Linked DNA regions of Mus musculus: all the other regions are reported to be linked to region 2. Evidence: microRNA targets listed by miRTarBase, many of them from high-throughput screens and not tested one by one. Region 2 holds a microRNA gene; each other region holds the end of a gene's coding sequence. Distances are from middle to middle.
What was found. Region 2 holds the annotated microRNA mmu-miR-3064-5p (UCUGGCUGUUGUGGUGUGCAAA, at 1,850-1,871, opposite strand). A microRNA usually pairs through its seed, bases 2 to 8, with sites in the 3' UTR of a target mRNA and lowers its output. Matches are read on the target gene's strand: a 7mer-m8 pairs with bases 2 to 8, a 7mer-A1 pairs with bases 2 to 7 and ends in A, and an 8mer does both.

Region 1: the mRNA of E130311K13Rik is a reported target of mmu-miR-3064-5p. Seed matches in the 3' UTR shown: 7mer-m8 at 1,174-1,180.
Region 3: miRTarBase lists Ccdc78 as a target of mmu-miR-3064-5p. Seed matches in the 3' UTR shown: 7mer-m8 at 1,065-1,071 and 7mer-m8 at 1,208-1,214.
Region 4: the mRNA of Ttbk2 is a reported target of mmu-miR-3064-5p. The part of its 3' UTR that is shown has no 7-base or 8-base seed match.
Region 5: the mRNA of Il5ra is a reported target of mmu-miR-3064-5p. Seed matches in the 3' UTR shown: 8mer at 3,577-3,584 and 7mer-A1 at 1,889-1,895.
Region 6: miRTarBase lists B4galnt2 as a target of mmu-miR-3064-5p. Seed matches in the 3' UTR shown: 7mer-m8 at 3,389-3,395 and 7mer-A1 at 3,321-3,327.
Region 7: miRTarBase lists Aida as a target of mmu-miR-3064-5p. Seed matches in the 3' UTR shown: 7mer-m8 at 1,361-1,367.

Annotation. Positions count from the first base shown.
Region 1 is chr3:63,911,818-63,916,267 of GRCm38, reverse strand. It overlaps E130311K13Rik (RIKEN cDNA E130311K13 gene), which reads left to right. Exons shown (of 5, transcript NM_177856.5): 5 at 530-1,577. The coding sequence ends at 931. Among named protein-coding and RNA genes, the nearest start is that of Plch1, 15 kb to the right of the region's middle.
Region 2 is chr11:106,780,887-106,785,336 of GRCm38, forward strand. Mir3064 (microRNA 3064) reads right to left here and starts at 1,873; the gene lies at 1,807-1,873. Ddx5 (DEAD box helicase 5) reads right to left here. Exons shown (of 13, transcript NM_007840.3): 7 at 4,250-4,410; 8 at 3,994-4,166; 9 at 3,528-3,638; 10 at 3,215-3,276; 11 at 3,073-3,132; 12 at 1,583-1,807; 13 at 1-1,370. The coding sequence ends at 964.
Region 3 is chr17:25,789,231-25,793,680 of GRCm38, forward strand. It overlaps Ccdc78 (coiled-coil domain containing 78), which reads left to right. Exons shown (of 13, transcript NM_001165929.1): 10 at 9-88; 11 at 556-622; 12 at 695-795; 13 at 880-1,283. The coding sequence ends at 982. Antkmt (adenine nucleotide translocase lysine methyltransferase) reads right to left here and starts at 3,164. Exons shown (of 5, transcript NM_145410.4): 1 at 2,823-3,164; 2 at 2,342-2,446; 3 at 2,116-2,256; 4 at 1,703-1,753; 5 at 1,270-1,548. The coding sequence starts at 2,984. The coding sequence ends at 1,318.
Region 4 is chr2:120,736,499-120,740,948 of GRCm38, forward strand. Ttbk2 (tau tubulin kinase 2) reads right to left here. Exons shown (of 16, transcript NM_001024856.2): 16 at 1-3,696. The coding sequence ends at 3,234. Among named protein-coding and RNA genes, the nearest start is that of Cdan1, 7.2 kb to the left of the region's middle.
Region 5 is chr6:106,708,595-106,712,777 of GRCm38, forward strand. Il5ra (interleukin 5 receptor, alpha) reads right to left here. Exons shown (of 13, transcript NM_008370.2): 13 at 1,781-3,871. The coding sequence ends at 3,788. Among named protein-coding and RNA genes, the nearest start is that of Il5ra, 38 kb to the right of the region's middle.
Region 6 is chr11:95,862,325-95,866,649 of GRCm38, forward strand. B4galnt2 (beta-1,4-N-acetyl-galactosaminyl transferase 2) reads right to left here. Exons shown (of 11, transcript NM_008081.3): 11 at 1,235-3,952. The coding sequence ends at 3,747. Among named protein-coding and RNA genes, the nearest start is that of n-TQttg6, 5.2 kb to the left of the region's middle.
Region 7 is chr1:183,321,369-183,325,818 of GRCm38, reverse strand. Aida (axin interactor, dorsalization associated) reads right to left here. Exons shown (of 10, transcript NM_181732.4): 9 at 3,418-3,535; 10 at 1,318-3,330. The coding sequence ends at 3,234. Among named protein-coding and RNA genes, the nearest start is that of Gm34102, 22 kb to the left of the region's middle.

The sequences.
Region 1 (4,450 bases), not on the chromosome of region 2:
TGGCCAGTGACATCCAGGGATTCACCTGTCTCTGCCTCCCAGCACCAGGATATGAGCCTGAACTGCCTTGCCTAGCTGTTTGCATGGATGCTGGATATCTCCATGCCCTGTTTTATTGTTGTTACCGTTTTGTTCGAGACTGCATCTCTTTTTTTTGTAGTCCAACCTGGACGTGAATAAGTAAGTAACCCTCCTGCCTCAGCCTCACAAATGCTAGGATTACAAACATGTGCTATCAAACTCAAACTCAAACTCAAACTCAAACTCAAACTCAAACTCAGCCTCACAAATGCTAGGATTACAAACATGTGCTATCAAACTCGACCTGGAGGCCTTGCATTACGTGTTTTTTGGTTGGTGGTGTGTGGTAGTGGTGGGTTTTGTTATCCTTGTTGTTGTTGTTTTTGTTTTTTTGTTTTTTTTTTTCTTTTTTCTGTTCTTGCCGCATTTTTAAGGTAAATAAGATATTATGGTTATAATAATCACAATAATCACTCCTAAGTAATTGGTTTCCTCCTTTTTATTCAAGGGCGGATATTTTAACGTGAATCTGAATGAGGAGATTTTGAGAAGAGGCTTGGGCAAAACCGTCCTTGTTAAAGGGCTAAATTATGACTCAAAAACCCACTGGAAAATTCACAGAAACTTACTTAAAGCTGAATTGACGGCCTTAAAGAAAGGAGAAGGAATATGGAAGGAAGAGTCTGAAAAAGAAAGCTATTTTAGAAAATTGAAAGACTCCTGGAGAGAGAGATGGACAAAGGACAATGATTTAAAACCAGCTGGAGCAGACCTCGGCTCCACCAAAGACAGTTATCACGACAGCCGGCGCAGGGCGTCCGGGAAGGGGAAGGACAGCGTGAGCAACTACTCTTTCTTTCTGAAACTCAGAGAATTTGTGAGCCGCTTACACTTTTGGAGGAAAGGATGAAGCGTTGTGAGGTCTGGAGGTAACCCTAGAAGAACGCCATGGAACTGTGTGAGCACTTTTCATTGAGGCAAAATGGAAATTCCCTCAGGGGATCAAAATCCCAGTCTTGCAGTATTTGTACATTAAAACCATTGTTAAGGCCGGGCGTGGTAGCGCACACCTTTAGTCCCAGCACTTGGGAGGCGGAGGCAGGCAGATTTCTGAGTTCGAGGCCAGCCTGGTCTACAGGGTGAGTTCCAGGACAGCCAGGGCTATGCAGAGAAACGCTGTCTCTAAAAAACAAAAAACAAAACAAAACAAAAAAACATTGTTAAAATCAGAATCAATTTGAATAAGTTATGATCAATGTAATATACTTTTAGAAAGTAGTGACACACTGTAAAAAGTTACCCAGTAGAAAGATGTATATATGCAGAACTAATGTTTTGCCTTGTTCTTCTGCCTCCCTGTACCCTAGTGCCAGGGATTGAACTCAGGGCCTCAGGTACTCTGGTCTAGCAGCACATCATTACTGAGCTACATTACCAGCCCTATAGTGCTAATGTCTGAAGAGGAAGTTTAAGTATCGACTGTTATATTAGTTGTCTAGGACAGCCATATTTGACATTTGTTTTTCAGTTTTATCAACTTTATAATAAAGGAATTTAAAAAAACATTCTTTCTGAGATCACTCTTTTTCTCCAGTCATCTTTCTAGCCACTGCTGAGTTAGGACCACTGATCCAAGAGGTAAGACCACCATTTCTCGTAATAAATACAGTTATTTCCATCCGGTAGTTAGATAAGAGGATTTCCCTTAAAACAGAGATGAGGACGGCAGCACAGATGTCAGAAAGGAACGATCTTTAGGACATCGCGGAGCCCCTGAACTCGCCAATTCTCAAACTACCCTGCCTTCTAACTCCTCATTGCATGAGAGAGTATTCTGCCTTGATAGTAAATTTGGAGTTGGGCATGGTAGCATGCACCTGTAATCCCAGCACTTGGTAAGTAGGGACTGGAAGATAAGGAGTTCAAGGCCACCCTTGGTTCATACAGAATTCAAGACCAGTTTGAGCTAATTAATATGAGACACTATCTAAAAATCAGAAATATCAAAAGCAAAACCACCCCCAAACCACTTTAATGTATATATTAAAATCTTCCTGACAATGTAAGCCTCTTTCACAAGGCCAACAGTATTTGCTAACTGTTGGGACTTGATCTAATAATGGAGTCCTTCAAGGGGAATTCAGAATGCTTGTGCGAAATCTCCAAGAAAACAAGACAAGAGTCTTGTGACCTAAGTTTCTCCAAAAGCAAAATTGTTTTTGAAATGTGCTTTCGTGCCCTTCCCAGGCATAGCAGATAGGAGTGAGCTTACTCCAGAGTATTCATTACAGCTGGATATTGTTACTTGTTTATATGCCTCTTTGGAAAAACATGTTTTTACCACATGTCCTTGTGATTGTACACTTTACTCAGGTGACTTCTCTTAACCTTCAGAGTTAATGCTCTGAATAAATTTGGCTATTGCATAAGATTTTGGTCTGCCTCATTTTTAGGCCACACTATTCCAGGTTGGCACCGCCAACTAGAGTGGCTAACATCCTCAAAAATCTATATAAAAAGGGAGTTTTTGTTTGGTTTTTTGTTTGTTTGGTTTTTTTTTTTTGTTTTGTTTTGTTTTGTGGTTTTGATAGAGTCTCATTACAAGGCTCTCACTGGCCTGGAACTCACTATGTAGACCAAGCTAGCTTTAAACTCATAGAGATCTCGCTTTGCCTCTGCCTCTGCCTCTGCCTCTGCACCCTAAATGCTACCATGCCAAGCCAAGAAGAATTTTTTTAAAAATGTGATACCAAGAAAAGTCAGACCTAGCAGGTCACTTTCCTATTGCCTTGACAGTTGGGGTCCAAGAGTCACCCCACAAACCACACAAACACTGATCTTAGTCAGACATGGATGGTTTATTGAACACACACCCTAAGACTGATCTATTAGAGAGCCATAGCTTAGAATTTGTGAGCTGGGGTTATGACCCCAAACATTTTTCTATGTCAGCTTATAAAGGCGAAAACTGAAAAAAAAAAAAAAAAAAAAAAAAAACCCCACAGTGAGCTCATACACAAGTACTGGAAGTAATGCCCAGTGGTCAGCCCTGACTTAAGCCATTTTAGATATAACAGATCATATTGACCTTTAATTTTATGGGTCCTACCTGAAGCTTATAGTTGTGAAATTGTTTAAGATTAACAAACCTCATAAAATACAGGACATAACAGAGTATGTGGTCAGCATTACTCTGCTCTGACTTAAGTTGGCAGGCATATTACAGCAACAATATGAAATAGCTGGCAGACATGGAACAAAATGGCTCTCAACACTGACAACATATCATGACCAAGGTAACTTTATAAAAGAAACCACTTAATTTGGGGTTCATGGTTCTAAATGGTTAGAGTCCATGACCGTCATGGTGGGGGCATGGCAGCTGGCAGACAGTCATAGTCCTGGAGCAGTAGCTGGGAGCTTACATTTTGATCCACAATCACAAGGCAAAAGAGCTAAGTGGGAATGGCAAGGGTTTTTGAAACCTCAAAGCCTGACCCCAGTGGCACACCTCCTCCAACAAAGCCACACCTTCTAATGGTTCCCCAAAGAGTTCAACCAACTGTGGACCAAGTATTCAAACATATGAGCCTATGGGGATGATTCTCATTCAAACCAGCACAGAGTCTATGCTGTGCATTTAGCATTAGTAGCTGCTGGACTTCTTGTTAAAACCTAAGAAGAGGATTCTGAGCCTTTAGACATTAAGCACTATCACTTTTCATTGAGTTTGGAAGCCTCTAAATGTATTTTTGCATCTTTACCTTTTTTTTTTTTTTTTTGGAGTAGGATGCTATATTGTAGTTTTTGTTTCCTGCTCCTAATACCTCAATAACTTGTCTTGTTTTTACAGAAAAGTTAACATTTAAGTTCTTGCACTTTATTGTTTTCCATTGCACTGGCTGGTTCTGTGTGTCAACTTGACATAGGCTGGGGTTATCACAGAGAAAGGAGCTTCAGTTGGGGAAATGCCTCCATGAGATCCAGCTGTAAGGCACTTTCTCAATTAGTGATCAAGGGGGAAAGGCCCCTTGTGGGTGGGACCATCTCTGGGCTGGTAGTCTTGGTTCTATAAGAGAGCAGGCTGAGCAAGCCAGGGGAAGCAAGCCAGTAAGTAACATCCCTCCATGGCCTCTGCATCAGCTCCTGCTTCCTGACCTGCTTGAGTTCCAGTCCTGACTTCCTTGGTGATGAACAGCAGTATGGAAATGTAAGCTGAATAAACCCTTTCCTCCACTAACTTGCTTCTTGGTCAAGATGTTTGTGCAGGAATAGAAACCCTGACTAAGACATCCATTTTGGCATATATAATTCAGTGGCCTCTGACATTTTAGCTACTACATTGTTGTCTTTCCAAGTATGACATGAGAAGATCCGGCTTTTTAGGTCTTTCACGCAGTCTAATTTCCTTGTGTTACAGGGAAATTAA
Region 2 (4,450 bases):
TAGCTGTTAAGCCCATAGTGAACCTAACCCGAAAACTTTACTGTGCTTTTGGTTATGTCGTCTTCCTTGTGACTAGCCTACAAGACCCCTAAAATCCCCTGAAATAATGTGGAGACATTCCTGACTTCCAGGTGTGGCTATAAGCACTCTGGCAAGTCCTCGAGGACTAGGAACCTACAAGGTAATCCTGCACTAAAGACACAGTGCACACAGCTCTTGGGCTAACAGTCTTTCAGCTTCGCACATTTCGGCAGTTGACAACAAAACCAAGAGATGGAATAAAATTTTGATAAAGCAAAAATGTCATTACTTAAAACTGTTTTGCAAAAGAAATCAACATGTATTTATATAGTTACTGTCCTGTAGTTCACTCTTAAGGAAAATAGGCTATTAAATGACTTACTTCCCTGATACTGAAAAATGACAAAGCTTTTATCCAATAAATCTGGAATTATAAAATCCATTGTCTCTAACTTCTTCCCATACAAACAGATCATCCTAAGGGCCTTCTGAGTTCCTCTCCTAAATCCAGGAATGGGAAGTAGTCAACTTTCCTTGTGTAAAAATAAACACCAAAACAAAAATCCCCCCCAAAAACACTATCTAAGCCAAGTTGTACATGACATTATATATGTAAAATAAAGTACAATTTCACTTAATTCAGTCTTCAAATATCTTTTATTGGAAGGCCATGCATTGCCTTCATTTATTGTATTTGAAATCACTGTACAGTTACTTTTGTGAAAACACTGCCTGCATTTTCTAGTACAAAAAAAACCTAAAAATTGTTTCAGGAATGTAGAGAAATATCCAACTTAAATAGCGAAAAAAGTGCACCATAATTACTGCTGCACTGCAGTCATTTCTGCATTTCCCATGTTTCTTAAATAACTATCTTGTCTGATAACACACAATATAAAGAGCAATTATGAAAAACAGACATTTACATATACTTCTAAAGTCTTATTGAGAATACCCTGTTGGCATGGGATAGCCAATCATAGGCGCAGCAGCTGCGGTAGCAGGATATGCATATGCCTGTTGGTTCATACCATTGTGCATATTTGCAACATTACTTCCATATTGCTGAGTGCTATCATAACCGTTCTGGTAAGTCCCTGTTGGATTACCAGTCCTAAAACTGGTCTGTATGCCAGCAGATACAAAATTACTTCCAAAGCTCCCATTGGTGTAATTTGCAGCACTGTAAACACCATTCTGAGTTTTAGCCCCAAAATCTCTCTTAAGCAGATTAGAGTAGCCTCTGTCATAGTTTTCCCTGTCTCTAAAGGTATTAAATCCACCCCTTTTGCCTGCAGAGTATCTGTCACGACGATCGTCCTTCATGCCTCCTCTACCCCTGGAACGACCTGTCAAGAAAGTAAGTGGAAATTGATCAATTTTTATCTGTGGCATAAGTGTGGTAAGATAGGAGAGAGTTAGATAGCTCTATTTATGTTGGGTCTTAAGTGCTTTTAGATTCTTTAGGTTTCAAAATAAGAAGTACTCATTCTTCCGATCCCACTTTGTAGACAAGAGGTAACTGCCACCTACCAGAAACATCTCTTACGAAGATCCTTACCTGAACCTCTGTCTTCGACCAACTGAAGCAACTTGGGATTAATTGCTTGATTAGCTTCCCGAAGCACAGAGATAAGGTCGCTCACTTGCTTTATGTTATTAGGTGTAAAGAAAGTGTATGCTGTGCCTGTTTTGGTACTGCGAGCAGTTCTTCCAATTCGATGAATATAATCCTCTGAGGAGTTAGGGTAGTCATAATTGATGACAAATTTCACATCTTCCACATCTGTAAGGTGTTGCAGTGTGGCAAAATAGCAATGTACGGAGTTTTGCACACCACAACAGCCAGACCAAAAATAAAAAGTTAGACAATTGTATTCCCAAGAAGGTACGGGCTGAAAAAAATACAGTTAAAATGGTTATCCATTTCCTGTAGGAACACCATTGAGGTAGGAAAAAAGGGCAGGGTAGGAAAAAAAAAAAACCAAAACACCCAAAAAACAACAAAAAAATTTGCACATGTCAGCTGTCTTAACACCCACCCACTGACAGCCTATCAAGGGAATGTGTGTTCTCCTTAGCACATTCCCAAATTGACAGTCCCCTTACAGATCATCAAGTGACATCTGAATGCTTCTGCGCAGTAGGGCCAATTAAAAGTTTCTCAGCAATCTCTTCATGTGCTCATTTTTGAGGACCTTTTAACAAAAATGTAAAGGTCCTTTGCATTACACTCATCAGAAGTTCAAAACTCTGGCCACACTGCTTGTCTTGCCAAGACCTTACAACTGCAGCTGCAAGAAAAACATACCTGTCCCCCAAAAGTTGTTTTAATGCACTGTGTCTCGTCTAGGCAAGCGCTTCCAAGAAGCCAGGATTCACTTGAGAATGTGTCTCTCTCTGGCAGGTCTCGACATGACGACTACTGTGTAGGTGAGGGAGGAACTTTCAAGGCACTTTCTTTTCCCACTGACTATGTGTGAGAAGTTGGTCCTGCTCTAGGTCTCATGTGCCAGTACTCACCAATTTGTAAAAGGCTTTTAAAGCTGCTCTCTCCATTTCAAACTTGAACAAAAATTTCATTGAACATTGAAGTTTGGAAATATTTCTTCGACATTTCAGCAAACTCACTGAAACTCAAAGACCCACAGATCACAGTGAACAGTTTGAAACAATGCTGTACCATGGCAATCATGCAAAGCATGGGACAGATGAAATACCACGGCAGTGAACTGTGAGGTAACTTCCATTTTTTTCCCCCGGAGAGAACAGTTTATGGGGCAGAGGTGGTATGTTCTGCCCTTTGAAGATTACTGGCACACTTTCAGCTTTTCACCTCTCTAATCGACTGGAAGCAGCCAGCCGATCACTAGTCCTCCATCCCCCTCGAGTCCTCCGATTGTCATGCCTAGGCCTTGCCACAAAGACTGCACCTTTATGTGAAAAAAACTTAGAAAAAATGCAGGTTAAAGAAAGCAATAAACTTTCTTTAAAAAAAACTACATGGAGATCTTCTGGGAAACCAAGCCATGAATTCGAGTTTGTACTAACCTAGCCCTCTGGAGGCCACATCGGTAGCAATCAGAATAGGAGCTTTTCCATGTTTGAATTCTATAAAGACAACCATGAATAATCATTAATGCAAGCAAATGATGTTATCAAGCTACAAACTAATCTTATTTGAAATACATACCATTTAGAACCCAGTCACGTTCCTGCTGACTCTTGTCACCATGGATGCCCATGGCAGGCCACCTATACCAAGAATTAAATTATCAGTAGTATACCCAACTTAAAACTCTTGTCAAGACTCTACCAATATCTATTCCCACTGTACTTCATCTTGGCCAAGTGTTTTCCCACTAAGCATTGCAACCCAGAGCCTACTACAAGTCACTGGAACGAATCCATACAATTACCCCTATATCACAGCGCATGATTCCCAAAAAACACTAGCCCCAGATCAAAGTACTTTTAAGTCTGCTTTGACTCAGGAAACCACATACCCATCTCTCCTCATTTTTCTGGTAAGTTCATCACATCTTCTTTTGGTTTCAACAAAAACAATAGTTTTATTCTCCTTCTCACTCATGATTTCTTCCATCAGACGAATAAGCCTAAAGATGAAGAAAAACTCACCATTTTTAAAAGGATATAAAAACAAAACCAAACACAACCCTGATTTTTTGCTTAGTGAATCCAAATGTCAAACCCACTAAGCCACCACACATACAGATTTTCAGGTGTATCACTTTATGCGTGCTTGTGTAGTGACTAGGTTCAAAAACTATGAGTGTTTTCCTCATGCAAGCCAAGCAAGTTCTTCATATCACACCAAGCCATATCACCAACAAATGGACTTTTAAAAGAACATATAGCACACTACCTTAATTTTATTTTGAGACAATTTTCAGAATTGATTACTCTTAGTTTATGTAAGATTTTTCTCAATTTGTAAAAATGTAAACTCACTTTTCATCCTTTTCGACATCATGACATACATCCACAATCTGAAGAATGTTATGGTTTGCACTCAGTTCCAGTGCACCAATATTGATATGAATATAGTCTTTCAGGAAATCTTCAGCAAGCTGTCTTACTTCTTTTGGCCAAGTTGCACTCCACATTAGTGTTTGCCTATCAGGCTGAAGATTTAAGGAAGCAAGTTACACTTCAATCTTAAGAGCATTCCTAGAACTGATTTTTATGATAACATAAAGATACTTACTCTTATTTGATCCACAATTTTCCTTATCTGGGGTTCAAATCCCATATCAAGCATCCTATCAGCTTCATCAAGGACAAGGTAAGTTGTTCTTCTCAGATTGGTTTTCCCACACTCTAAAAAGTCAATCAGTCTTCCAGGTGTTGCAATACAGATTTCCACACCTTTAATTAAATAAATAAAAAGGAGTAGATGCTTTAACTA
Region 3 (4,450 bases), not on the chromosome of region 2:
TTTTACAGTATGGCCGACATAGGACACTGCTACTGTACCCAGAGAAGGGATCTGGTGAAACTTCCAAGGAGAACAAGTCACAGCCACTGTGAGTGCTTTCTGTTGATATAGGAGAGGTCTACAAGTCAGGCAGAGAGAACCAGAAGCTGAACAGCCTTCATTCATTCTAGCAACCCTCGCTACTGAGTAGGGTTCTCTTATCCCTGCTCTGGGCTATCTCAGTTTGAATGGAACACTGGTAATCACTGAAAATGGATGGCTGCTTTGTTAAGTATCTGATAGGTGAAATGGGGTTGGTGACAGTGGGCAGCCTAGTGGCCTCGGCAGCTGTAGATTTGGGCCTCTATACCTGCTGTATACCAGGCAGGCTCTTGAGATAGTACCTCCCAAGAATTGGGGAAGAAAACACTGTGTAGACGAGGGCTCACTGAGCTAGTCAGGGGACTATCCAAGTGCAGATGCTCCGGGGCTCCAGGCAGTGCTATGCTGTCCTAAAACCACGCAGCAAGTATTATGCCTGGCTCGGAGACTGCCCCTCCTACCCTCTCCTCACAGGGCCCTAGACACTGCATCCTGGGCCCAAATCCAGCAGAGGCTGCAGGACTTCTCCCAGGACACTCAGGTAGTAGGGAAGGAGCGGCGGAGACCCCCTACTCTACCTCCTACCATGGCTCATAACTCATGCCTCCACCAGGCAGAGCTAGAACGGGAACGGGCACAGCTGATGGTCCGGGCCACCATGGCAGAGCAGCAGCTTTCTGAGCTACAGGAGTATGTGGACCAGCACTTGGGCAGGTAGGCTGGATGTGGCTCCAGGGTCCTAATCTGGTGGAAAGAAAAGAATCCATGGCCAGACAAGTGATTTATCATTCCAATCAGGTACAAGCAGGAAATCTTGAAACTGAGGAAGTTGGTGAATATTGGAGATCCCCAAGGAGTAGAAGCTGTATCTTCGCCGGGTAGTGGTGGCGCACGACTTTAATCCCAGCACTCCGGAGGCAGAGGCAGAGGCAGGCAGATTTCTGAGTTCGAGGCCAGCCTGGTCTACAGAGTGAGCTCCAGAACAGCCAGGGCTATACAGAGAAACCCTGTCTCAAAAAAAAAAAAAAAAAAAAAAAAAAAGCTGTATCTTCCACTAGGCCTCAGCGCCCAAGGACTCAGAGTCACTAGCTAGTCTCCCAGAAAAATCTCAAAAGAAATCTCTTTACAGCCAGCATGGAACCCTCTGGACACCCTGCCCCAGGAAGTGATTCCTGGAACAAACAAAAGTCAGGATTGAACCCACAGAGTCTTTATTTTATCCAGTCAGCCAGTTTGTCAAACAGGGGCTCTAGGGACTAAGGTAGAACTGGACTCTGGGATGGCCTTGATGGGCACCCCACAAGAAGACACAGTTGGCCCAGAACCATGGACATCATAGGCCCAAACTCTGTCAGTGCCCTCGCCCACCACAGCTACAGGCTGCCAGGTGGGAAGGGGGAATCGTCCAGATACCACACGGGCCCCCACAGGGAGCTCTGCTTGCAGTTTGTCCTCCAGCAGTTGGAGCTGTAGGAAAGAACAGGAGGGAAAAGAACACAGGAGCAGGTCAGAAAAAGCTGCCCCATCCAGCTGAGCCCAGAACATATTCCAGGCCCGAGAGCATCCAAGAGCCAAGACTGTGGCCCTGATCTCCCAGCAGGACAACAGACCCAAAACCTACCACACTGGGAGCCAGGAACACAGACACGTTGTGACAGTCCCTGAGGCTCACCTGTAGAAAACAAGGGTAAAGGCTGGAGGGCATGCAGTCCCCAAGGTAGGGCCTCTAGCCCACCCAGATATCCACATAATAGCCACTCAGAGCATGAAACTTGGGAGATAAAGATATCAGGAGCTGGAGGTGTGCCTCAGGTGGCAGAGTGCTTGCCTAGCATACACATATCCCTGGGTTTAATCTCCAGTTCTGCATAAACTAGGTCTGATGCCTATAATCCAAGGCTAGTTTGAGATAAGCCTGGACACACATCTCAAAAAAAAAAAAAAAATGAAAGGAAGAGGGAGGGTAAAGAAAATCAAGTTTGGAAAGAAAGAGAGTGGGAGGGGGAGGGAGGGGTATCAAGTTTGGTAGGGTACCTTCCAGAGATCTTTTCGATGGTAGCAGACACTCGCAGAACAACCGGCTCTCCAGGCATGCAGCCGTGCAAGTCCCACAAGCCACGGGTTCAGCTCATATCCCATAGCTGGACGGAGACCACATTGGTGGGCCGCCAGCACCTATGGGAGCCAAGAGTGTGGGATCTGGATGAAGGGAATGGGGCCACCACCAGAGGGACAACGAATATATAGACACAGGTCTTACGATCCTGCCATCACCAGAGCCTAGATCCACCATTTTTCCAGGGCGGCCTCGCAACAGTGACAGCACGTTCTCAACCTGCCGGGCACTCGCGCCAACGTAGGGCACCTGAATAAGGAATTTGGTGGGCTGAGGCTAGAAATCACACAGGCAGAAGCACCAGTTTGGGGGCCGATGGGAGCCTACTAGATTTCCTTTCTTAAATTGATACCATCCAGTGAGCCCCGCCCACTCTCCAGTCATAGGCCCGTACCCCCTAAGTAACTCAATCCCAGCTTCATTCATTTAGACTTGGTCTTGACGAAAGACCCAGGCTCCGCAACTTCCTGGTCCCAACTCTCCGTACATCGGGTTCCCGGGTTAGGTCCCGCGCCATAATTGATTCCGCCCATCTTTACGCTACCTACAGTAGCCTTGACCCCACCCATGGAACCTTGGCTTGCACCAGTATTGGCCCCTTTCCTTCCAAGGTTCAACGCTGCACCTGCAGCCTCAGAGGCACCCGGCGGAAGCCCGGCTGCAGCAGCAGCGCCCATATAGTATAGACGGCCAATCCCGAGCCTGCCGCCGCTTGCACTATCTCCAGCAAGCCCAGCCGCTTCTCGCGTAGCTCAGTCAACGCTTCGGCTGGGTCGTCCTGATCCATGATTGACAGACACTCAGTTCCAGGTCCTACTTCCCAAGGCTCCCGGCCGGTAATGGAAGCGGTTGCCCTCCCCGCTGCCCCCAGCCTGAGCCAAACTCTATCCGCTTGCAGCGTACGCCAGCCAACCGCAGCCGCAACTGCAGAAATCTAAGTATCCGCTGCGATCAGTCGCCGGAAGTGGAAGAGGCCTCCGAGGCCAGTCCGACATTCATTCTTTTCCGCCCAGCCATCCGGGGGACCCTCCTTGGGTTCCGGGTGATGGTTTGGGGTAGCGATGACCCAGGCGATGGGCGAGAATGACAGGGTTTGCCACGAGTGGGTCTACGGTCCGAGACATACAGCGGTCAGCTTCAGGGTCCACTTTACAGACAACCACATGGAATGGAATCTGTTCTAAATCCCCCTGAGGCTGTACTGCTGGCCGGCAGCCTCGGGTTATAGCCAGGGTCTATAACTGAAAGGCACTCTCACGCAAATTCTGTTGATCAAGACAAGAAATGACTGAAAGCCTACCAAAAATCCAGAAGCAAACCACAGAGGACGTCCTTCCAGCCGCCCCTCCCCCTCTTCCGCGACAATAATTAGGCGGGAAACAGAGAGTATTCTGGGGTCGAAGGAGAGGGGCGGGCAGCTAGAGACAGATGTTGGCTCTCTAGTGAGTACGGAGGGAGGGGGCCGGATGTGAGCGACTGGGTGCTGGCAAAGGGCCCAGCCTAGGGTGGAAGACAGCCCAGGAGTCCGGAAGATCTCCTTCTTTCAAAAATAAAGGGTTGAGTGACTCTTAGTAAGGCCCTGCATGGAAACAGATAGAGCCTTGAGTCAAGCTGCTGGACCCCGACCACCCACATCAAGGCTAACTGTCTGAGAATGGTAGATCTTCCCTGACTATGCTCACTCATGGCCTCTTCGGCTATCCCTAGCATAGACGGTGATGGCTTCCAAACTGAACATGCCCAATACCACCACCCTATCGCCCAGGCACAGAGTGTTACCCTCCAAAACCATCTGCAGGACAGGTGTCGCAAGACAGCATGTATTCTGTGTACATGTATTCTGCAGAGAGGCTCTGCTCCATCCAGCTCAGAACCTGGCCACCGGAAGATTTATACCAGAGCCCTCCCACACACTGAATTCTAGACAGGGTTGCTTGGACATAGCTATTCCTGTCTGCTGCTCCTGGCAGTACTCTAAGACCAAGAGCACCCAGGAAGCCCTGGCAACTTGACCTGACATTGGCACCCACACTCTGCTCCTCAGCTGCCAGGGCTCTACTTGGAGGTGTCTCTGCTCCTCGCAAGGCTTTCCCAGGCTAGCTCCTGTGATTTGGGTCCTGCTTATACACACCATCCTCCTTGCTGTCTCTGTCTCTACTGTTTGGAGTCTTCACCACCTGTTCCCTAGAGCAGACTTGAGGCCACTGGACCAGCCTTCCCCTACCAGATGGAAAGACAAGGGTCTAAATCCTT
Region 4 (4,450 bases), not on the chromosome of region 2:
TAATTTGGGGGCAACATTACCTAAAATTAGGAACTAAGTGTTCATTCTTTGCTCCACTGAAATAAGCACAGGACAGGCCTGAGTTAGTAACCTGTGTAGATAGAAGCCAGGAGGTACTTGTCTCCCAAAAGATAATTTCTGTCACACCCTACTTCTATTATGGCTACAGTCATGTTCTTTACCTTATTTGGATGATTTGTGACTGAAATATGAAATATGCCATCAATAAAAACCTCAAAGAACTGAAAACCCAAACCAAACCGAAAGCTTGATTCTCTAGATCATACTCCTGAGTGAAGAGCTGGCTTAAGACTGCCAATTTTTATTTTTAACCTGAAAGAAATGTAACATGTAAAAGCACAAACTATGTTTTTTAATCTTTTGTTTGTTTTTTTAAGACAGGGTTTCTCTGTGTGGCCCTAGCTGTGCTGGAACTCACTCTGTAGACCAGGCTGGCCTCAAACTCAGAAATCCACTTGCCCCTTCCTCCAGAGTGCTAGGATCAAAGTGTGTGCCATCACACCAGGTTCTACTTTTTCATCTCTGTATCAGGACAGCACTTAATAATAAATGTAACTACTGATACATACGATATAATTAATTAGTCCATTTCCTTTTCTTCAGAGCAGAAACATCTTTGGTTGGTTCTTTTCCCTACATACAAAATAAAACATTCTCACATAATGAGGCGTTTTGTCTCTGGATTTTGATGAGTTTGTGAACGGCATGCAGAAAAGGAGGCAACACACTGAAAGACAGACAGAAAGCATCTCTGTCAGCATGACTGCCAGCAGAGAAATTCACAAAGAAAAAGGCTGGGCCCTGTTAGCTTTCCCAGTTACTATTAGCACATGTTTGACTAGAGAGGACAGCAAGAAAGCCGGCTACTTTTAGCATCATTTAGCTAATGTAACAGAAAGAATTTTAGTTACCCTACATCCCATCCCCACTTCCCTTCAAAAAAGTGACATGGAAGAGGCAACTTTCAGGAAATGTTTTAAAAAACAGTTGATGTCAGCTGCATAATTATAATGCCCATCTATCCACTCTAACCATATGGACAGAACTATGTGGCTAACATGAGTAATCTTTGAGCCTGTATTACAAGCATATCTTGTTAAAATTTTCCCCTATTAAAATACTTTTTAAGTGAAAATTAAGTACCTTACACCTTGGCTTGGTAACAAGTGCCAGCTGCTTCAGTGTGCACCCGGAAGGCAGGACTACTCTTAGGGACCACATGCCAAGAACATGTGTTCAGAAAATGAAGACAGGCAATGCCCAAGTGTACATGAAGCACACAATAGAAAAGGAATTTTATCATCTATAATCTTGAAATTACAAATGCAGAATGAGAAAAAAATGGATTTATATAAGCATATGTCTCTTCTATATTTATAAATATTTATATAATTTACCATGAAAGACATGCAAGCAGTACTGCAGTAACTGTTATACAATATAATACATAAGGATCAGTCTCCAGTATTACAGCTGTAATAGATAAACAACAAATGCGCCTTACCTACTGCACTGCTCTCAAGTGCCTGAACCTGGACAGAAATTAAGATTCCACACTATGCCCCATTTCTCATGGGAGACCTTATGTCTCAGTGTAGTGTCCCAAGTTTGAAAACGCTCAACACAGAACAAGCTAAGTTAGTTTAGTGCCTGGGCAGCTGGGATGCACCCCTGGAACATGCTCACTTAGTGAAGAAACACGTTTCCTTTTCCACCCCACTCCTGAAATTCAACAGTTACAGGTTTGGCAGCAATACAAAGTCAAAAAGTAGATGTTTGTTAGAAGGCAGATTTCAACAGCAGGCAGATCAATTTCCCTGACCTCAATAAGATTTTTATACACCCACAGAGCATCAAATAGTCCACTTAAAAAGTCTGGTGTCTTTAATTTGCCTGATTTCTGCTAGTAAGAGAGTAAGATTAGAACGAATATGATCATCCTTACAGCTTTATAAACTGAAATTTAGATGTCAACAGCAGCTATAAACAAGAATTCAGGCCTGAGTTTCTTCCCCTTGGACTGTGCTGGACTGACGCTTCCTGTGCAGAGGCACGGACTCCTCATGTGCTTCCTACCTGCCCTAGCTAGTTATACTTACGTCTTCTTATAAATGTGGAAGTCAGGCTAAGAAGCCCAAGCATTAAACAACACAAGAACCAGGTAATAAAAACATTGAAAGAAAACTATTTAGTCTAAATTTATTTCCCAGATATTCATTCCTTATTGGCTAAATGTATAAAATACAAAATCTGATTGTAAGCCTTAGTAACATATTTTCTTTCTAAATCTCTAAAAGTATAAGCCACATTCCGAAGTGTTATTCTTTCCTAGATCACCCTGAAGGCTGACACTAGAAAGAACCCAGGGAAGCTGTCTCCTCCGCAGGCTCCTGAGAGGAGGAAGTGCAGTCAGGGGAAAGGTGCTTGTACCTTTGAAAGCCATTGTCCCACTCTGTCCCTCTCCAGATACTTTTGCCCAAAATAGCTCTAGATAGACATTTCTTTCATTTTTGAGATAAAAATATAGGAGTTAAGAATAAGAACTGTTGCTCAAACGAAAATAGCAAGGTTTGACTAAATAAAGGTAATTGGATTATCCTATGCTGATGAAAACACACATTAGGGTGTATTGTTAAAAATAAGAGGTAAAAACATTAATTTTAAAAAATGTAAAATTCAGGGAAGATACTAGGAATGAGTGGAAAGAAAGGTGTAGATTCACTAAATAAACACACAAACCAAATATACCCAGGTAATGGTTTCCTGGCAACAAGCTTCTTATATTTGAATGTCTGCGCAATGACTCTCCAAGGTTAGGAAGTTTTAAATAAAAATATCAAACAATTTTGCTATATACTTTTTGAGTAGAAGATTAACAAATTAGGCAAAATCACCTAAAATCCCATTCTATTTCCTATCCTCAATTTTCTGTTTCAAAGGCAGCTATAAACAAGAGCTCAGGCCTGAGTTTCTTCCCCTCGGACACTGCTGGACTGACGCTTCCTGTGCAGAGGCACGGACTCCTGATGTGCTTCTACCTGCCCTAGCTAGTTATACTTAGGTCTTCTTATAAAGAACTGATCATGTTACTTTCTTTTGCAAGAGAAGATCAACACTGATTGTTTGAAACAGACAGTACAGGGACACACATGCATCAGGTCTAGGAGGAAGAAGATCTCACGCCTTTCCCAGAGATGTAGCCTGCTCACTTCCTATCTGCTGAGTTTACTGGCTGGCTTACTCTTCCCTGGGGGAGTTTTAGAGCTGGTTGAGTGGTGGTGGAGGCTGCCAGATCCTTTTGGGCCATTCTTGCTGGGTTTGCAATGCTCCTGTTGGCAGGACCTCCTGGAGGACGATGATCCTGAGTGGCTAGGGGGTGACTTGCTTCTCCCCAGATGTGGGGAAGAACTCCTCTGGTCATGGTGGGGCCGTCCAGCCCTAGATGGTGAGGAACTAGATGTTCGAGGCAAGGATGAGCTTCGAGGAGAGGCACTGGGACTCCTTCGAGGTACAACTGGACTCTTGGGTGGTGTTTTTGGATTGTGAGGAGATCCTGGGCTCTTGCATTGGGTAGTACTCCGGGATTTCTGAGATCCATTTTGAAGAATTTGGGCCAGGCGAGAGAAAAGGTCTGAGTCAGAGTTACTACTCCCTAGAACTTTATATCTGCGTAGCCTTAAAAGAATAGAGAAGAATTAATTTTTTGGAAACAGGATATCAAAAATTCATTTTAAGTGTGCCTAAAAAAAAAATCACAGTATCCCAAATCATGATATGTATGAAGTATGTCAATACCAAAAAACACACTAAAAGTATACTGAGTTACTCTTTCAAATACATGCTGAGTTTGACATCTGCTATGTCTGTTTGGCCTTTTGGTTAATGTTTGTTTCCTTTGACAAGGTCTTCCTGTGCAGCCCACACTGATCAAGAACTCAGTATGTAACCCAGGCCAGGCCTGCCTCAGCTTCCCAGGTATTGGAATTATAAGTATGTATAATCTCCCAGCTTTTTATCATTCCTGGCCAAAGACACCTTGTTTGTGTGTTTTTTAAAAATTCCACTAGGGGCCACGAGTGGGTAAAGGCTCTTGAAATGATAGCCTAGTGACTTGAATTTGATCCCTGGATTCCATGTAAACATGGAATGAGAGAACCAATTCCACAAGGTTGTCCTCCCACCTCCACATGCACACCATGCACACCCCCATCATACAATATGCTCTCATCCCTCCTCTCTCTCTCTAATGATAAAACGTTAAAATCTGTAAATATATAGTTCTGCTATATAGTCAGGCTGACTAGTCATTCGTTTGCTTCAGAGCCACCATGTCTAGCAGTAGTCAAGGTTTTTTTGTTGTTTCTTTTAAATAGTTTTCTGAGACAGGCTCTCACTATGTAGCTTAGATCATCTGGAACTTAATGTGTAG
Region 5 (4,183 bases), not on the chromosome of region 2:
GTGACATTTTGGAATTTTGAGGACTTGAGGGTATATAAATGCTAGGGCCTTGAGGGTGGGTGGGTGGGTGGGTGGTGGTGGTGGTTATGATTATTATTGGTGGTGGTAGTGGGCTGTTGGTCACAGTTTGTTAAGTAGTCATGCACAAAGAAGAAACACCAACAAGAAGAAATTAGATATCCTGACAGTGAGGATCAAACTTACATCATGGAACTCAGTGACCCTACTCAGCAGGAAGTAGTCTAAGGATAACATTGCCCCCTTTTTTACCCCTGATTTTACTAAGGGATCTGTTTCCTTTCTATCCTTTCTTCCTTTTATCTAGTGTTAGAGGATTGAACAGGTAGAAGAAAGGGGATGGAGAAGGGTAAAAGAAAGAAGAACCCACAATGTAGCAAATGCCAGCTAAATAAGAGTGCATCAGATCCCCTGGGACCTGAGTTATAGATGGTTGTGAGCTACCATCCAAGTGGCTAGAAATCAAGCCCATATCCTCTAGAATAACAATCAGTGCTCTTAGCCTCTGGATCATCTCTCCGGTCCTAAAACCATATGTAATTCTTAAAGGTTATGTACTGTTCTAGACCCTGCAAATAAAAAGATACATTTCATATGCATAGTGCTAGTGTTCCTAGGGCATATTGTCAAGCAGAGAAGCAAATAAACTGTTGGGTACATTTTGAAATCTTCATAGAAGAGATAATGTTGGATATGGATTCCCAAAGAATGATTGTCCTAACCCAAGAATCAGGAAGAATAAGTCCACATGTTGACATGGCCACAGGAACTATTTGTATTGCTTTTTATACATGTACCTTGATTAGATAATAGCACCAGCCAGGGATGTGGTCAGGAGGTCTGTGACATCTAGAGGAATGCCTGCTTCTAGGTCTAGGGAGGCATCTCTCAAGAGAGACCTATACACATAAAACTAACAACTGGCCTTGTATGAGGGCAGCTTCCCTGCTTCTGCTTCTAATCCAGCCTCCAAGTCCAAAGTAGAGGTAGGTTTCCAAAATGGTGTTTCTATGCTTTCTTTGCAAGACAAGAGACAGAGAATTCTTGGGGTTGGTCATTTCCGTCTTTTATTAGTCAGCTTTCAAGTTGTGATGTTCCTAATAATTTATCAAAGTGTGGTATACAGACCCACAGCCTTACTTTCAAATTGCTGATCTTGAAAATTCTTGACTCCACCCGAGACCTGCTCAATCAGACCAGTGTCCATTATAAAGAGTCTTTAGTACCATTTTGATAGATTCTTGGTAAGTTAGTTGATCAAATAAACTCTTTGCCTCTTATAGCCACACTTCCATGAGCCTCAACTTCCTGGACTGACCCCTAAAGTCAACTTCAACTTTCATGTGATAATCTCCTCTGTGTTACTGAGCTCCTCTGAGTCTTATTACTGTACCCTTTCCTAGCAATTGACCTTTCTTTTCCACATTTACTGTATCATTAATGGGGGTAGGCAGTAATGTGTATGCCAGTGACACAGTACAGACTTGTAAAGAGCAGAGAGACAGTACAGAGAATCTGGTATGGTGATCTGACCCTTTAGAAAAGATCTAATATTAGCAGTTGTCCATGACTGCTGTACCTTTCATTCTGAGCACAGAATGGTGGATGGTTCTATGTTAATGCATAAGAGCCATGCAAGGGATGTTTTGTACTCCATGTGCACTTCACCCAGATTATGAAACCTGACTAAACCATCTCTATAAAGTACATAAAAAGTAAGTTATGTTGTGGATTTTGAGTACCTTTTCTTTTTTTTAAGGCATTTTTTATTAGATATTTTCTTCATTTACATTTCTGAGGGTTGCTGGGTAGTTCATATTGTTGTTCCTGCTATAGGGTTGCAGACCCTTTTAGCTCCTTGGGTACTTTCTCTGGCTCCTTCATTAGGGGCCCTGTGTTTCATCCAATAGATGACTGTGAGCATCTGCTTCTGTATTTGCCAGGCACACAATTTGCAAAACACATGAAACTCAAGAAGAAGGAAGACCAAAGTGTGGATACTTCACTGCTTCTTAGAATGGGGAACAAAATACTCATGGAAGGAGTTACAGAGACAAATTTCAGAGCTGTGATGGAAGGAAAGACCATCCAGAGACTGCCCCACCCAGGGATCCATCCCATATACAACCACCAAACCCAGACACTATTGCATATACTAGCAAGATTTGGCTGACAGGACCCCGACATAGCTCTCTCTCTTGTGAGTACCATTTCTTCTTTCATTGTCTTTAGCTCTTCAGGACTATGTAAAATAACCACCACTAGGTCCCTCTATCACTACTTATTCCTCTTCCCAACACATAAGTGTGTTTGCTTCTATGTTCAGCCCATCAAAAAGACCTATAGATACAGCTTCATTAATGAAGATATTTAGAGAATACATTTTTATACAATTGTAATATGTATAGGAAACCCTAATTTAAGAGATTAGAATTGACTAAGCATGAGTTGACCAACAGGTTGCCATGAAGGCTCTTTCATCAAACATCTCTTTGGGAAGTACATTCTAGATCCAGCAATCACCTCCAAAGCAGAATTATTTTCAATGTCTTTCTCAGGTCATTTCCAGAGTACCTAGAAGCCTTGAAGAATTTAATCCTTGAACAAGCTTCTGTCTTCTCTCTCAATAGGGAATGGTGTCTTTGTGTTGTGTGTGTACATGTGTATGCATATTTAGGGCAGAAGTCAGTATCAGAGGATCTGCCTAGTCACTCTCCACCTTAAATTTTTAAGACCATTTCTCTCAGTGAACCTAGAGAAAACATAATTGGCTAAACTGGTTGAACTACAATTCCCATGGATCCTCTTGTCTTTATCTCCCAACTCTGGGGTTATAGGAATGTGCTTCTTGCACTGTTTTGTTGTTGCTGCTGCTGTTGTTGTTGTTGTTTCTTGATGCTGGTTGATCAATCTCAGGCCCTCATGCTTCTTCGTCATCTGAACCATCTTTTTCACCCCAGGCACGGTGACTTAAACTTACTTTGGCTTAGACATTTCCTTGAACAGGCCTATGGAACACAGGGACATGTGGGACATAGTCTTTGTTTTTGCCTCAATGTTACCTTATGCTTTAAGACACAGGCACAGTTCTAGAAAGAAAACTATTCTAGAACTCAAAGGGGAAAAGCACCATGAAATTGTGTCTCCCACTTGCTTCAGGAAAGACAGTCTTGAATTTGGGTTCACTCTCAATGAGTTCTATCCTTTCCTCCTGTCACTGTAGCTGAGTGCTACCACTGGCAACTTAACCCAAAGTAAACATGTGTGACATTAGCTTAAAAAAACTGTCTCCTGTGCAAAAAGTTCAAGGTAAGTCAAGCAACTTTCAAAGACACACTGGTATAACATGGTACTCTGGGTAGGAAACCAAAGGCCCATGCTCTGGGTGAGTCTGGTGCTATGCTGTGAGCAAGGAGGTTTGAGTGAGGCATGCACACTTTATGAAATGGGACATTGGTGACTCATGTCTGGATGGGTTGGTGACTTGCATTCAAACTGAGTGTTCATTTTTGTTTGTTTGTTTGTTTGTTTTTTCGAGACAGGGTTTCTCTGTGTAGCTCTGGCTGTCCTGGAACTCACTTTATAGACCAAGCTGGCCTCGAACTCAGAAATCCTCCCATCTGTGCATCCCAGGTGCTGGTATTAAAGGCGAGCTCCACCACCGCCTGGCTCTGAGTGTTCATTTGAAATACCTCCTTGCCAAGAAATAGCAGTCCTTGCTCTTATCACGGAGTCCTGTATGAGTTCATTTCAGAATGGCAAAATGCCATCAAAACGTGGAATTTCCCATGACTTCAAATCCAACCTCTTCCACACAATGTACAACTTCAATTTTGGTTTCATTCGAAGGTTTCTGCAAAACAAAGCAACTTCCTTACAGGTCTTTTAGGGAACATTTCATCTTTGATTTCTTTTTTTCTTTCTTTTCTTTTCTTTTTTTCTTTTTTTTTCTTTTGTTTTTTTCACAGTTGGTTTGAAGTAACTTTTAAAGAACAGTAGTCTGTTTAGAAACTAGGAAAAGTCAAGTGGGAAGAAGAAACTGTAGCTATAAACTTATCTCCTAAATATACCCTATTCCATTTTCTCAGCCTTTCTTGAAGCATAAAGCTTTCTTTTACAATTGTGATGAAGTAACAGGGACACACAGATTTATTTTTATAAAATG
Region 6 (4,325 bases), 11 Mb from region 2:
GGATTATATAGTGAAGAACCTCTGAGGAGAAGCCCAGCCTCTGGGCTGCAGAGTTCAAGTAGGGACTGAGGGATGCTGGGAGAACCTGGAGGCCAGGTCTGCTTTGGTAAAATACCAAAACCTCAGCCTCTTGTCCTGGGTCTGAAACCCAGTACCTCAAGGCTGTGCTTGAACACTAGGCATTTGTAGACCTCATTTATTTTCCCGCTTATTTCATTCTTACAAAGGCCATGTGAGCTGGGCGTGGTAGCACATGGCTTTAATTCCAGCACTCTGTGGGCACAAGCAGGCTCATCTCTGTGAGTTCCAGGAGAGCTAGGGCTACATAGAGACCTGCCCCACCCTCCGAAAGGGTCCCATGACTGCACAGGACACATTGGCATAATTTCCCCCTCCCCTCCCCGCCCCCCCCCCCCACTCCCGGTCCACTTTCCAGGGTTCACTATATAGCTCTGTAGCTCTCCTGCCCCACAACTGGCTCTGTAGACCAGAGATCGAAGACATTGTCACCACAACTGGCCTGGTATGGGTTCTCAAGAGGATTATATCCCTACAGCGAGTGTGTAGGTGACAGTGACTGCCTTTGTGTCCCCACTTCTCCATGCTCAGGTTTGTCCCAGGCATTCCCCACACCTTCTTTCTTAACTTAATCGAACTGGCACACTCACTGTAACCCTACTTGTGTTCCTCTGGTGGCATTAAAAGATTGCTTCCAGCCGGGCATGGTGGTGCACGCCTTTAATTCCAGCACTTGGGAGGCAGAGGCAGGTGGATTTTTGAGTTCGAGGCCAGCCTGGTCTACAAAGTGAGTTCCAGGACAGCCAGGGCTATACAGAGAAACCCTGTCTGGAAAAACCAAAAAAAAAAAAAAAAAAAAAGATTGCTTCCCTGTCTTTGCTTACTGCAGTATGAATTAGCAGGAAGGGGGTTCGTTGTGTTTCTGTTTTTTGTTTTTTAACCTGCCCTCTCACTCCACTTGATGTGGCTGGCAGTCTCAAGAGTGGGCCCTGGGCCTTCATAGTCTTTAAATGTGGCTAATGTTTTAACAGACTTGGTCACTGAGCCACTTGCTTTGGGACACGGGAAGACCCAAAGGAAGAAATGTTCCAGTTTTGTGCTCAGAGACTCTTAATATCACCCTGCCATGTGACACTAACCTTGGGAAGATGGGGACAAACATGTACTCACTCCAATCAGGAACCAATGACGGATCAAAATAAGCACACCACCCGAGTCCAGTATAGCAGACTGATGAGTTTTATTGGGGTTACAGACAGAAGTATGGGTGAGGGGTTACCGCAGGATCACAAATGACTCGAAAGACAGCGGCACCATGAAAGCTCACCATGTCACAAAAGCTGTAAACTTGAAGCCCTCTGTACAACTTGCAGACAGCTCAACAGGTTAGAGAATGTCTGTTTCAGGCAGCTCAACTTGTCTGAGAGTGCCTCTCAGCAGTCTTCACAGCTAATATACTTGGAAAAGAGGGGGCCTAGTCTGTCTGGTGGGTTTCAGGGAGTCCCTGAACCCTTTGAGTTGAATGGATGTCCTTTTAGAACATCCTGTGTTCCTGGGGAAGAGGTGTTACTGGATCATAGGAAACTAACTCACTCTCTGTCTCTCTCTCTCTCTTCTGGAGAGATGGTTCTAGATCTTGAAGTAGAGAAAAGACTGTGTTTGAGCATGCTAACGACAACCCAGTCAAAATGGAGGATGTTAACATTTGCTGTGAGAATGCCCAGGGTTACAGACTGGCAGCTATGCCTTACTTCTGGGAATCTGAACTCAAGTCCTCATGCTTGGGTAACAAACACTTCACCTTTTGAGCCATTTCCTCAGCCCCTGATTTTGGTTTTGTTCTGAAAACAGAACAAAACAAAACAAAACAGAGCTCACTGCCTAGCCCTGGCTAGAGGATCTCTGAATTCAAGGCTGGGATTAAAGGCCCACACCACAACTAGCTGGCATGTCATTCCTCGCCTCCTTACCCACTGGTGTTTGGCTTTCTATGGTCTAGCTCAGAGCAATATTTACCTCAGGAAGTAAAAAATAAAGTGTAAGTATGTTCAGAGTGTTGAAATGGGCTGGCGAGATGGCTCAGAGGGTAAGAGGATGGACTGCTCTTCCAAAGATCCTGAGTTCAAGTCCCCGCAACTACATGGTGACTCAACTACCGGTAATGAGATCTGACACTCTTCTAGTGTGTCTGAAGTCAGCTACAGTGTACTTACGTATAATAATTATAATAATAAATAAATCTTTGGGCCGGAGTTAGCAGGGACTGAGAACAGGGTTGACTGGAGTGAGTGGAGATTCTATCCCCAACAACCACATGAAGGCTCACAATCTTTTCTTTCTTTTTTTTTTTTTTTTTGGTTTTCCGAGACAGGGTTGAAAGCTCACAATCTTAACATCCATCTTAATATCCCATTAAAATCAAAATATAAGCCGGGCATGGTGGTGCATGCCTTTAATCCCAGCCCTCGGGAGGCAGAGGCAGGCGGATTTCTGAGTTCGAGGCCAGCCTGGTCTACAGAGTGAGTTCCAGGACAGCCAGGGCTACACAGAGAAACCCTGTCTCAAAAAGAAAAAAAATTATAATGAATAAGTATATTTAAAAGTCAAAGTTTAAAAATCAAGCTAGAGACTAGAGAGATGGCTTATCAGTTAAGAGCACTGACTGCTTTTCCAGAGGTTCTGAGTTCAATTCCCAGCAACCACATGGTGGCTCACAACCATCTGTAATGGGATCTGATGCCCTTTCTGATGTGTCTGAAGACAGCTACAGTGTGTGTGTATGTATGTGTGTGTGTGTAAATTCTTTTTAAAAATCCAAGCCAGAAATTGTGGTTCACACCTCATACCTCAGCACTGGGAAGTGGAGACAGGAGGATTGCCATGAGTGTGAGGTCAGTCTTACACAGTGAGTGCTAGGCCAGGCAGTCTTGACAAAATAAAATCGGAATTATTTGGTTAATATTTAGCCATTCACTCATTCCTTCATTTATTTTAAAGCGTATTTTGTGTGCATATGTGTGTGCCTGCGTGTATGTATGCACCACTCATATGCAGGAGCCTTTGGAGGTAAGCAGATGCTTCCAATTCCCTGAAACTGCAGGTATGAAGTTGTGACTCATCATGTGGGTCCTGGGAGCCAATCTAGGTCCTCTGTCCTAATCGCTCTTAAGCACTGAGCTCTCTCCAGCCCCCTAGTCACTCATTTAAAGATGGGCTGTTACATAGCCCAGGCTGGCCTTGAACTCAATCCTCCTACTTCAGTTACTGGGCTTTGGGATCACAACACTACACCAACCTTATCATCTGGCTTTAAATAACATTATTTTAGATCAACTTATTGCCTTTTTAAGATAAGAGTTTCTCTGTAGCCCTGGCTGTCCTGGAACTCTCTCTGTAGACCAGGCTGTCCTCAAAATGCGCAGAGATCCACCTGCTTCTGCCCCCGGAGTGCTGTGATTAAAGGTGTGCCCCACCACCTTCCAGCCCTTGTCTTTGTCTCATTCCCTGCCCTTTCTCTCTCTAGGGCAGATAAATCTCTGTGCTGAGAATTTGGTCTTGGGGGTCCTGAGCCGACTTCAGGGTCCTACCCTAGCTCCAGCTTCCAGCTTCTTTGTTCCCTGTTCCCCTTGTTAGGAGTCTGCTTTTGGTACCCTCCAATGTCCAATCCTACTATTTTTTTTGTTGCCCGCCGCTAATCTGTTTATTGCGATTCCTGGTCTTGGTACTTTTTAAGTGGAGCAGTAGAGATGGTTCTTGAAGTACTGGAGTGCAACCTTGAATTGGATCACAGAATTGGTGTTGGCCCGGTATTTGTCATAAGTCTTCTCCAAGGCAGCCAGCTTTGGATCCTTTGGTGGTGTTCTTACTTGGTGGTTTATAATTACACCCGGGCAAGAGCCCACCAACAGTCTCCCCAGCCCATCAATAAAGAACTCTGCAAAGAGAAGAGGAACGGGAGACAAAAGGAAGCTAAAGACAGACAGCTGTGGTTCCCCACCCACGCCGGACAGGGAGCCCTGGAGCTGAAAGGAAAGAAACAGATAACCTCAGTTTCTCAGATTGGAGAGTGGGCGTCAAGTCCGCTGGGTTCCACTAAATGGGACTGTGGGTTCTGGAGAGGAAGGGGTGAAGGGAGAGGGCAGTCCCTAAGTGCAGTTTTTGGTGGAAAAGACGTTCTGAAAGAAGACTGAAGCTGAGAAAGGTAGAGGGCTGAGCTGCGGGGAAGGACGGAGAAACGTGTCTCAAGTGGGCAGAGGCAGCATAGGGAGACACCGGGAGATGAGGGCGGCAAGAGGGACCATGAGTTC
Region 7 (4,450 bases), not on the chromosome of region 2:
CACGGCTGTTGTGAGCGAGGTGAATTGCTGCAGCCGTGTAAGCTGCAGTAATTAAAGCTATAACAAGTGAAAACAGCTCACTGTGACACTGCACTCTCTAAAGTCCTGTGAAGCAATGACTGAAACCAAGGGCACATCATGCCACTGCTGGGAAGTTAAATCCACTGGAGATTTTGAAAAAAATGAGCAAAAGCTTCAATGTGAAATAAAATCTTCGATGACTGAAGACATACAAAGACAGGTTCTCTGAATGCAGGAGGTCCAAGGGAGTAAGAGTTCAGCCTGCCTGACCCCAATCCAGAATTACACAAGATTTTATAAGAAAATGCACAGGAGAGTATATATAATTTGAAACTTTATTTTCTATGCTATGCACATGCATTTTGCTTGCATGCTTGCATGTATGTATGTGCAACATGTGTTGTGTCTGGTACCCATGGGGCCAGAAGAGGGCACTAGATCCCCATAACTGGAGTTACAGGCAGTTGTGAGCCATCATGTGGGTGCTGGGAACTGAACCCCGGTTCTCTGCAAGATCAAAAAGTGCTTTTTAACTCCTGAACCATCTCTTTAGCCACACATGCCATTTTTAACCATATAAAAATAATATTAAATTGCAAACACAACTTCTTGAAAGTATCTGTCAATCTTGGGACACAAAATAGTAAAAATATAGTTTATAATTTTTACCTTTTTTTTTTTTAAAGATAAGGTCTCACCTATATAGTCCAGGCTTGATCAAACTTGCTATCCTCCTGCCTCAGCTATCTTGACTAACCTAAATTTAGAAGGCATATAAAATAAAAATTATACAAGCTAAGAAGACAAATAGTAAAGGTAAACCTTTTTTTTTAATATTCAAAATTAGGATATTCCCTCTAAAGGCCTTTAGTTATTCTATCATCATAAAAATCATCAGAAATATGTGTAGAACCCTCAGTTGTAGCATTTCTGTGCCCTCTGAGCCAGTCGATTACTGCCTTTCCTCAGCCCCATCTGACGAGGCCTGTGCTACAGAAGCCTGTCTGTCTACGGATGGCACAGAGGACAGGATACCTCAGTTGAGTCGGACTCTTCCATTTAAAAGTTCTTGTTTCAGAAGTCCCCTCCCGCTGTTTCTCTGTTGAATAGCTAAAGCTCTTTAGGAAGGAGCCACACCTCACCTTGAAAGCATCTGTGCTAGAGACAAGGCTATTGCTCAGTACAACGGAAACTCAACTTGTGAAGTGGGGAGTGCTTTTGTGTTCACTGCTTTAAGACAATCTTGTCATTCGGGTCTGATTTAAAGCTGAGCTTTAATTTTTTTTTTTTTTTTTTGGTTAGTTGGTTTTTTTTCAAGACAGGGTTTCTCTGTGTAGCCCTGGCTGTCCTGGAACACACTCTGTAGACCAGGCTAGCCTCAAACTCAGAAATCTGCCTGCCTCTGCCTCCCGAGTGCTGGGATTAAAGATGTGCACCACCAGTGCCTGGCGAGCTTTAGTTTTTAATATCATGTTCCACTAAAGTGCTTTATTAACCCTGACGGCAGGCATTTGTGGTTCATATATGCCATGCTGTGTGAATGATCAGTGCTGTAGCACAGAAAATTACCACCTTGCTATTTGTCTTTTATGATCTGTAAGAAATGAGAAAGGACAATGTACAGTCTTTGCTACGTTTTAATAATAATAGGTTTTAAGGAATTAATTTTTATGTCTAGTCAGCAATATCAAACAAAATGTACTGAGTACTCCCCAGGTACAGAGTACTGCCAAGTACCTTAGACCCTTCCATGACAGCTACAACTCTTGCCCCAGGAGCTTACAGCCTGGGGACCTACAACTCAAAGCCTGAGTGGGAGAGTGAGCTAATTTAAGGCAAAAATCTCCTCCCCCTAGAGCTATTATAGATGGGATGATTTTAGCAGTTGGAACTACCCAATCAAGATTAATTTGGTTGTGGATTTTTTTTCAGGTTGAACCTGAAATACAGTTTTTATTAAGCTCCATCTAGTAAACAGTGGCCTAGTAGGTGCTGAATGAAAGCCAAGACTAGATCTCTTGAAGGACAAGTTTAAGACATCTTCCTTGTGGTTATTTACTTGAAAAAGCAAGTATATTGAATGGTGTGGTGAGGTCACTGACATGTGAATATTAAAGTATATGGCATGTCTAACCCACAGAAAGCCCCTCATGAGTCCTAATGCTCTGTGTAACAACCATCCATCATGTGCTTTCAAAGTTTTATTTATGCCTTGTTACACCAAAAGTAAATAGTCCATTCAAAATAAACTAGTGACCTGCATATTTTCATATGGATGAATGACTGTATATCTAAATAGGAAATAAATGGCAATCCTATCTACCTATATTAAAAAAAAATAGACAGTCTTTCCAGATTTTTGCATACTAAGGAGAGGTACGGGGTCTTAAGGTCTCACAACGGGTGGTCAGGAAAGCAGCAGTTATCCCGCAACATCTTGACATCTGACTCAACTGTTCCTAAATGATACAGTTTAAAAGATACTGTAAACACATTTTCAAATCCATAGTTATTCTGAGATGGTTCCAACGTTAACCCTAGAACTACCAGAAAGAATTAGCAGTACAATAGAGAAGAGCAGATAATCCACCTGACGATACACGTGCTCTCTTCAGGAAATCAGTCTGGTCATCCGGGGAACACTCAGGGTGGGATGCTCATCTGGCCAGGTCACACTTTCTATGCAGGAGACCCATGGCACCAGGCTAGGTCTCTTCTAAGGAGACTTTGCTAGGCAATGTAACTAGTCCAGTTCCTCTCAGAGCAGTTCTACCCACTTCAACTCACAGCGTGGCATTGAAACCAGAAGAGCATACTGGAGCAGAAGTGAGCAGAGACGTAGACTCTTGCACATTCTTATTGCTGCATTGTCTGAAGTTCTGCACATCTACAACAGTGCTGTCCGGGAAACAGGGGAGTAGAGGCAATGAGAAAATAGACTATTCATTGCACAATTAATAGAAAAGTGAAAACGTTTCCAAATCTACAATAAACCTGTATCCAAAGGAGTGATAGGTCAGTGATGTGCTGAACTTTTGTTCTGGGGTCCGGCTGTGCAATAGACTCGCTTGGTCAGCTGGCGTGGGTAGGGCTCACTTCCTGCCTGTTGAAGGGCTCACTTCCTGCCTGTTGAAGGGTGATTATGCTACTCAGAGCTATGATGGGTTCTGAGTGGTAAAATTCACACAAGTTCTTGGTTATTTGTATCAGGATCATTCCTTGTGCAAACTTTGATGTAGATGAAGATAAAGTGGTTTCTTGGTCAACAATTGCAATTTCTTTCTTTTAAAGTCAGTGGGTTTCTTGTATCTGAAAGCACAAAAGAAAGATTATTGTTTAAAATATTCTGCTTGATTGACCCCTAAGTTCCATTCATTTGCTATGCCCAAAACTTACAGTTCTATTACGATTGGCCCAGGTTTAATTTCATCCATCTCCATGAAGGCAAAACACTTAGTGCTGGTAAACCTCTTTTTAGGCTTGTAATGTTTGAATTCAAAGAAAATGGCCGCACCTAAGAAATTAAAAGACATATAAACCACGGGCAGCACCTTCTGTGTTAATTAGCTTTCTTTACTCACCAGAAACAAAGTAACCTGTTAAATACAGTCTGTCGAGGTGTGACCACTGGCTGCTAGGGACACCACCACAATCTGCTGTATTTCTCTGTAATTCTACAAAGTCTAGCAAACCTTCCTGAGCAAGACTGACTCAAGACTAAATCACTAAGGAATATCGAGTAGGGTAAGATTGCTCAGTGGTTAGAGCACTTGTCATGCAAGTATGAGGACTGGAGTCCAGATTACAGAACCCATTTGACAGGTGGCCATGGTGGCCTGCCTGCAATTCCAGCTTTGAATGGAGAGACAAAACTCCTAGAGCAAAATGGTTAGGAAGACTAGCTGTGTCAGTGAGCTCTGAGTTCAACTGAGAAATGTGTCTCAATGAATAAGAAAGAGTAATTGAAGAATACTTCCACTGGCAGTCTTGGCCCTCCATATACATGTGCACACAAGTATAGGTGTACCTGCATATACATGTGAACCCACACATACAAACTCATGTACACCACTGTGCTAGATAGTTTTATGTTAGCTTGATGAAGTCATCAGAGAAGGGAACCTCAAAAAAGGAAATGTCTCCATAAGAATTTTTCGAGACAGGGTTTCTCTGTGTAGCCCTGGCTGTCCTGAAACTCACTCTGTAGACCAGGCTGGCCTTGAACTCAGAAATCCGCCTGCCTCTGCCTCCCAAGTGCTGGGATTAAAGGTGTGTGCACCACTGCCCAGCTATAGGACATTTTTAAAAATTCGTTATTGAGGGGGAGGGCCCAGTCCACTGTGGGTGGAGCTATCCTTGAACTGGTGGTCCTGGCGCTATAAGCAAAAAGGCTGAGCAGGCCATGAGGAGCAAATCAGCAAGCAGCACC